Linked DNA regions of Alligator mississippiensis. Each later gene encodes a partner of the first gene's protein in a complex. Links are inferred from orthologs where the notes say so. Each region holds a gene or a part of one and is shown in the gene's direction. Other genes may lie near its edges.

Region 1 (3,741 bases):
GGGCACAGAGATGCGTGGAATGAGCAAACTGGGAAGTATGATTGAGGGACTGCCAGCCTAGGGGCAGAACACAGCAGGGACTAAGGGCAGACAGGGGCAAGGAGGTTTCCCTGGGGCTTTGCCCCATTCCCTAAGCCCCAGCGAGTTCAAGGAGACTTCAGAGTTCACTGCACTCCCTCTCTCTCCCCTTTGCCCCCCAGGAAACTCTGTGCCAGGGAGCTTTGGCCTGCAAGGCAAGAAAGAGCACCCTGCACTGATTCTGTCCATGCCAAAGTGGCCAGCCTGGATGTACCCTGAAGCCCCTTAAGCTGGGAAGCCTTGGTTCCTGTGTATGCTCACAGTGGGATACATTGCCTTTGTTGATGCAAGACATTGTACATGCAGAGACTTTGGGTCAGGTGCCTAACACGGAGTCCCCTATATTACCAGCAGAAACTGATTCTGACTTCCGGTGACTCACCCAAGGTCATAGAATGAGATGTAGGCTCAGGGCTCAGCTCTTCTGGCACCAGCCCCAGGCCACCTCCCCTCACAGGAAGCTTGGGGCATGGATGGTGGGCCAGGCTGTGAGGAAGTCCCTGCTTTTACACGTTGATGATGCATCCCTGGATGGGAGCAGATGGAGGCTGGAAATTGTTGCACTCAGCAGGTAGGGGGATTTGAGGGGATTTATCTCAGAGATGGGTTTAAGGCATCAGCTCATGGGGCTGCTCATGTCGCTGAGCGCAGCAAGTCTGATCAGAGTGAAACAGAGGGAGGGGAGCCTGGGCCTTACCTGCTCCTTGTCCACCTGTCCTTGCCACAGATTGGGCAGCAGGGAACACATGACTTCCATGGGCTTCGAAATCCTCCTTTGTGGGAGACTGGCTGGCACTGTGCATTGGGAGGAGTGTCATTCTTCTCTGGGGTTCACGACGGAGCAGGAGGGAGCAAGCGGAGGCCTTCCAGAGTTAGTAGTGGGTTCCAGAGGAGACAGGACAAGAGCTCTGGATACCCCCTGGGCTTACACTACTGCTGCTGAGTGGCTGGATCAAGAAGAGGAGTATACTGAAGACCAGATGGGAGCTGGGGCCAGCGCAGAAGAGAAGCACTCGCGGGAGCTAGAGAAGAAGCTCAAGGAAGATGCCGAGAAAGATGCCAGGACAGTCAAGCTGCTCCTACTGGGTATGTGCTTGGTTAGAGGCTGAGCCCTGCTTTTCCCTGATCTCAGCCAACACCCCAGATCCTGCACCAAACCCCTCAAACCTGCCCCCGCCCCTTGGCCCAGAGCTATCCATCAGAAGCCCTCAATCCGAAGCCAGCCAATACCCAGGTTCTGAGCCAGCATCCAGGCAGTGAGACTGTGATGCTGATCCTACCCAGGTTGTTGGATATGGTTTGTCATCGTGGTGGGAATGCTTGATGGAGGGACCCTTATATTGGCTTGATGGCCCAGCTTAGGGCAGTGCCAGGAGGAAAGAAGAGCTGGCAGCATTTTACTAAGGTATTAAGCACCCACAGGCCTTTGCGCTCAGCACCCCTTCCCTGAGATCCCAGCCCAGTGGGTCTGGGAGCTCACTCCTCTCCAGATCCAGAGCTGGTGAAAGCCAGAGTCCTGATCAGCGAGAGACAGCATGTACAGCTCTGCCTCTCCATGTGTGCTGCAATGCAAATGGCCCCAGGAAACCCTGATCCAGCACAGAGAAGGGGCTGTTTGCTTATACGTCAGCTTGGTCCCCAGCTGGTGTAAGCAACACTATTCCACTGACCATAGTGGGGCAGATCAGCATGTGATGTGAGTCTATGTGGTTCCCTTGGCTCCCATAGCACCCACCTTTGTAATTTCATGGCAGTTTTGCAAATTTCTGCAGAGCTGGAACCTGGACTTGCTATTGCTAATACTTCACCCTGTAGCCTTGCCAGGGCATTTTGAGATAATGTCTTGGCATCACTGGGAGTCTGACTGACTTGCCTGAGCTGGGAACAAAGCACTAGAACTCCAGGGCTTTGTCCCTGAGTTTGTCAGAGCAAATCATTTACAGTGTGCATGCCCCAGGAGCTGTGGGCACTGAAGCTTAGAGGAGATGCTGGATTGCTGTGATTGCTATGTTGCCCTCTCTCAAGCTTTCGCAATGTTGGGAACAGGTTGCAAAGCTCCTTTCTTTCCATGCCCTGCCCCACAAAGGCGGGGTGTTAGCACCTCTTTTTCTGCAGGCCTGGTCTGCAAAGCCTGGAGGAAAATGTCAGATCTCATTATCCATGCCCCAAGGATAGACACTGATCATCCATCTTACCTTAATGCCAGCTAAGAAAAGACACTGGGGCCTCTATAATCCTGGCTTGCTACCTCCAGTGCCATGAAAAACAGCATCTGCAGGGAAGCTGATTAATACTGTACATTGCTTCTTGCCCCTGTTCACTGCCAGGTTTGTGCTCAAGACAAGCCCTGAGCACGACACCAATAAGGAGGGCAGGGGCAGGATAACTGAGCAGCTGTCCCCATCTTGGCTGATGGACCAGGAACTGAACTGAGGGTTTTCAGTCCCCAAGCAAATTATTAAACAGTCAACTGGTGCAGAGCTAGTGGGTAGCAAGGTGGTAGAAAGAGCTGACAAGGGTTTGTCAAGAACAACTTGCCTTGTCTGATCGGACAGCTGGCCTAGTGAACAAGGGGAAAGCAATGAATGAGATGCAGCTTGACTTCTGTAAGGCCTTCAGCTCTGTCCTACATGACTTTCTCATGTAACAACTTCTGCATGAGTCACTGTTAGATGAACATACAGTTGATAAAAAACTTACCTCAAAGACTAGTTTCCAGTGGTTTATTGTCAAACTGGGAAGGCAACATAGACAGGTTACTCTAGGCACCTGTCCTAGGCCTGGTTCTATTCAATAACTATTTGGAGGATGAAATATAGGGTTGGCTTAAAAATTGTTGACAATATTGAGCTGGAAGGGCTTGCATGGTGGGGAGGGTAGGATTAGAATTCAAACTGACTTCAGAAGATTGGAAAGATAATCTGAAATCAGCAAGATGAGAATTAATAAAGACAAATGCAAAATATGATGCTTAGGATGGAGAAATCAAATGCACAAATAGGAAATAAGTATTCCCTAGAAGGGCAGGGAATAGTAGCGTATAGGAAAAATGAATCTGGGGGTTTCTAGCAGGCTACAAACTAAACAAAGTCAATAATTAAATATATTGTTTAAAAGGTAAATCCCAGTCTGAGATATGTTAACAGAAGAACTATACTTAGGACACAAGAAATAGTTGTTCTTATTCAATGTTGGTGAGGACCAGCAGGTGTGCTATGTCCAGTTTGGGGCTGTAAGAAAAATGGAAAACAACAAGAGTGATGTAAATTTTGGAAGCCATGACCTGTGAGACTAGATTGAAGGGACTGGCCTTGGTTGATCTACAAAAGAGAAGACATAACAACAGCCCCATCCCTATGTTGACATAAGGAGGATGGTGATCAATTGCTCTCCTTGTCTGGTAGAGGAAGGACAAGAAGAAATCAGCTTACTCCGCAGCAAAGAAGATTTAGATTGACTCTTAGGAGAAAGTTGCTTAGCTCTAAGGGTAGTGAATCACAGGCACAGATTCCCATGGAGGGGTGGAATCTACTTTGTTGGAGGTTTAGAAACAGGTCCTGCAAAATCTATCCTGGATGGATGGGCCAGGTACACTCAATCCTGCCTCAGGGCAGGGTGACCATTTAAGACAGAAGTGTAAAGATGGGTGGGCAAAAGGGGCAT
Region 2 (3,741 bases), on another chromosome or scaffold:
CTGCGGCTGCGTGCCTCTGTAGCATCCTATTCCCCCTGCCCCCTCGCCCTGAATCCCTAGGTGGTTTCAGTGGGGACGGGAGACCCCCTGCTCAGCCCCCAGTCCCTGCTGGCATCGGTTTTAAAAGCAAGCATGTTCCTGGCAGAGGTGCTCGCTGTGCCTGCCCCGTACCCCTGGGCTCGTGGGGGCTGGGAGCCGTGGGGGTGCCAGCTCGCTCTGGGCCGGGGCCCCGGGGAGCTGGGAGAGGGCCGAGGCACGGTGGGGACCGGGGCACTGAGGGTGTGCTCCCACGCAGGTGTACCGTGCCGTGGCCTCCGTCCAGCAGGCGCTGGAGGAGCTGGCCGCGGGGCGCCTGGGCGCTGCCTTCCAGGCCAGCAAGGAGGCGGTCACCTCCTCGGAGCGGGCCTTCTTCGACCCCTCGCTGCTGCATCTGCTGTACTTCCCCGACGACCAGAAGTTCGCCATCTACATCCCGCTCTTCCTGCCCATGGCCGTGCCGCTCCTGCTCTCCTTGGCCAAGATCCTGCGGGAGGCCAGGCGGGGCAAGAAGGAGCCCACCAAGACGGACTGAGGCGCAACAGGGGGGCCGGGGGCGGGTGCTGGCGGCGGGGCTCGCGGGCGGGCCCTGCGCCTCCCACCAATACAAGTTGAAGCCGGACGGGGCCGTGCGTGTCCTTGCTGCGGGCGGGCGGGCGCGGAGGCTCCTCCCGGGCGGGCGGAGCCGGGCCGCGAGGGAGCGGCGGCGGCGGCCGGAGCCGGGGCGCGGGGGATTTGCGGGCAAAGGCGCTTAGTGCGCGCGGGGGATGAGCGAGCCCGCCCTCCGCGCCGACACGGGCTGCGGCAGGGAGCGGGGCGGCGGGGCCGGGGCCATGAAGGTGAAGCGGAGCAGCGGGGCCGGGGCGGCGGCGCCCGCCTGCACCGAGGACGAGCTGCTGCGCAAGGCGCTCATCGGCCCCGAGGACGTGCTGGGGCTGCAGAAGGTCACCACGGGTGAGCGCGGCATGCTCCGCGGTGCCCGCCGCCCCAGAGGCGGGCCGGGGCGCGGGGAGGCGCCTTCCTGCGGGCGCGCGGCTTTGTTCCGCTGCGGGGCAGGGAGCCGCCCGGCCGAGCCGCTCCCGTGGGGCCGCCGAGCAGGCCTCGTGCCCGGGGCCCGGCCTCCGCCCGGGACCGCGGGAGCCGCCCGTCGGCAGGCCCCGGGGGCAGGGGCGGCGGGCGCGGCGCCCAGGCTCCTGCGCCGGGGGTTTGCCCCGTGCCCCGGCGGCAGGACGCGCTGGCGAGGGGCGCGTGGCCGCCCCCAGGGTGCAGGGTCTCGCGTGGGCTGTGACCCGGCGGTGGCAACAGGCACTGAACTAGGCCTTTTGGGCCCCCCCCCCGGCACGGTGCTTCTGGTCGGGGGACGTCTGCGCGGGCCCTGCTGCTCTGCTCCGGGCCTCGTCTAGCATCCTCGCAGCTGCGCTGGGAGAGCTGGGCCGTGGGCCTCGGCTCGGCAAACGCTCGGAGCCGGGCGTGCTCCCTGGACAGGCCCGGGGATGTGGAGGAGGAGCACTGCTGCAGAGGACAGCTCGCAGCCCTGCCCGGTCCTGCAGAAGGCGCCGTAGCCGGTGGGGTGCCCGCACCGGCTTTGCAGCGAGACCCACGTGGCCTCCGATAGCGTGGGATCGCAGCTGAGTGCCCCCGGGCCTGCCCGTCCTCTGGGCCGTGGTGCTTCGAGCAGCGAGGCTCGGTCCAGGCCTGCTCAGGAGCAGTTGGTGCTGGTCGAGGCGCCCGGCTGGCATAGCGAACCGCAGGCAGCACGCTCCGTGCCTCGTTAGCCCGTGTTTGCATAGTCCGGTGGCAGCCAGCCTTGCACCACAGCTGCTGGGGACAGCGCGCGGGTGCTGCTTGGTTGGTTGCATGCTTGGTGCTTGCGGGGAAAGCACTCCATAGCACCTGCAAAGAGCCACCGTCGGGCACGCATCGGTCTGAACGTTCGCTCTGCCTGGGGCTGCCCCAGCTGCTCTGTCTCTGGCGTAGTGGAGGTGGAGAGCCTTGCAGGATGGGCAGTGCCCGGGGCACAGGCTGCCCCAGGCTGGATTGAGCCGGGCTCTTCTCATCCTGTCCAGCACCAAGAGAAGCCCACGGCAGGCCCCGCGGGGCAAGGTACTTTGCCTTGCACAGGGGCCTGCTCAGCATTAGCTGTTGGCTTAAACCCTGCAGCCGGGCTGAGGAAGGTGGCACCCAGGTCAGACCATTGGTGGTAGCTGCGCCACTTGCCCCGGCTCGCCCATGACTCCTTTCCGCTGAGGCGAGTGAAGCCTTGCCGTCCGTGAAGGACCACGCCATTACCAGAGCCTGCGGTGGGTTCACGGTGCTCCGCGGGTGTTTGCTACTCTGTGGGGCTGACTCCTCCACTAGCCAGGCCTGTCCGCGCGTTTGCCGGGCACCAGGGTGGAGAGACCTGGGTGTCAGACCAGGGTGGAGAGACCTGGTTCCCAGGGGCCTTGACTGGGTGCAAGGATTGGGGTGGGGGCTGGAGAGCTGCGGGCAGGCAGCCTCCATAAGAGAAGCAGCTGCTTGGCCACTGCTCCCCACAGCGTGCTGGGCACTGGCTGCCCTGGAGATCAGCCAAGCAGGTGGAAGAAGCTGCCTCTTCCACGGGGGTCGCTGGCACAGCCCACAAGTGCCCGGCTCCTGGGAGCTGTGAACCACGTGGCACAGGGGCACTTGCTTCCAGTGCATGGAAGCTCGTCCGGTCACAAGCGCAAGCGAGGAGGCGGGGAAGCCAGCTGGGCTCTGCTTAGCGTGCCCCTAATATGCTTATGATGGCAGTTATCCTGGCTGTCGGTGTCCTCTCAGCGTGAAGCTCTCCGTGGCTGCCTGCTCTGTGCCAGGGGGCACGTCTGGGGCAATGCCCGTGTTCTGGGGCTGCCTGGCGGGCTCAGCTTTGGCCTGGGTGCTGCAGAAGGCAGCTGCAGCCTTGTCTTGGCTGGTAGCTGGGCCCTTTCGCTTGCTGCCCAAGAGAGGAAAACCTTACCACTTGATTAACTGGGGATTACCAGGGCTGGGGGCAGATTGTGATGAGTTAGCAGCCCAGCAGGAGGGCAGAGACGTCTGTCTGTCTGCCTGCCTCCTCACAGCCCTTTCTGAGCAGGTAGCCAGCCTCTTGCTGGCTCTCCTGACTGAGGCCTGACAGGGGCAGTGCGCTGCCCACATTGCTGGCACCCAGGCATCCCCCCCGCACCTGTCCTGACCTGGGCTGTGGGCTTCCCTGGCCATGCCGGGTGTGGAGCCGATGGGTGTGTAGGGGATGGGGTCTTGCTGACTTAGAAGAAGTCTTTGCCTGACCTACTAAAGCTGATCTGCGAGGGTCCCGGGCACCTGCAACTGGGCAGCCCCCAGGTGTGGCAAGGGAAGCCCAGCCCTGCACTTGGTCATGACCAGACTAACCCCAAGGGTGGGTGAGGCCCCAGTGAGCGGCGTTGGACGGTGCCCTGTTACAAGCCCTCATCCACCCACAGTCCATGCCGTCGGGGTCGAGGCAGCGATGCTGGGCTGCCCAGGGCTGGCCCGGCCCCACGAGCCATGCTGTGGGCTGGAGCGGCAGGAAGCCCTTTGCCGTGCGCCACCCGCCTGCCCCTCGGATGCACATCCGTGCTATTTCTGGTCATCGCCCAAGAACTTCCAAGCGGATAATCTCCTAATCGCCAGCTCCTCAGATTCATCTTCACTTGTCTTTGCCGGAGACCTGGCTTATGTCTGGGG

Evidence for each region. The genes of interacting proteins can lie anywhere in the genome.
Region 2: the proteins of GNAT1 (region 1) and UNC119 are in contact, whole or in part, in a crystal structure (PDB 3RBQ), measured with the Homo sapiens proteins. The link is inferred for Alligator mississippiensis from reciprocal best matches to the Homo sapiens genes GNAT1 and UNC119. Residues at the interface, in NP_000163.2 of Homo sapiens: Gly2, Ala3, Gly4, Ala5, Ser6, Ala7, Glu8; in NP_005139.1 of Homo sapiens: Asp87, Phe88, Val89, Arg90, Phe91, Ile105, Lys106, Lys107, Gly126, Arg127, Phe128, Val129, Tyr131, Phe137, Val147, Glu163, Leu172, Ser218, Tyr220, Asn230.

The regions. Positions count from the first base shown.
Region 1 is NC_081835.1:43,092,136-43,095,876, forward strand, and holds the start of GNAT1 (guanine nucleotide-binding protein G(t) subunit alpha-1), read left to right. Parts: upstream 1-842; 5' UTR 843-1,058; coding exon 1,059-1,164; intron 1,165-3,741. UniProt on the Homo sapiens protein: Functions as a signal transducer for the rod photoreceptor RHO. Required for normal RHO-mediated light perception by the retina.
Region 2 is NC_081837.1:1,020,670-1,024,410, reverse strand, and holds the start of UNC119 (protein unc-119 homolog A), read left to right. Parts: upstream 1-745; 5' UTR 746-803; coding exon 804-990; intron 991-3,741. Other genes in the region: PIGS (GPI transamidase component PIG-S), read left to right, coding at 296-571. UniProt on the Homo sapiens protein: Involved in synaptic functions in photoreceptor cells, the signal transduction in immune cells as a Src family kinase activator, endosome recycling, the uptake of bacteria and endocytosis, protein trafficking in sensory neurons and as lipid-binding chaperone with specificity for a diverse subset of myristoylated proteins.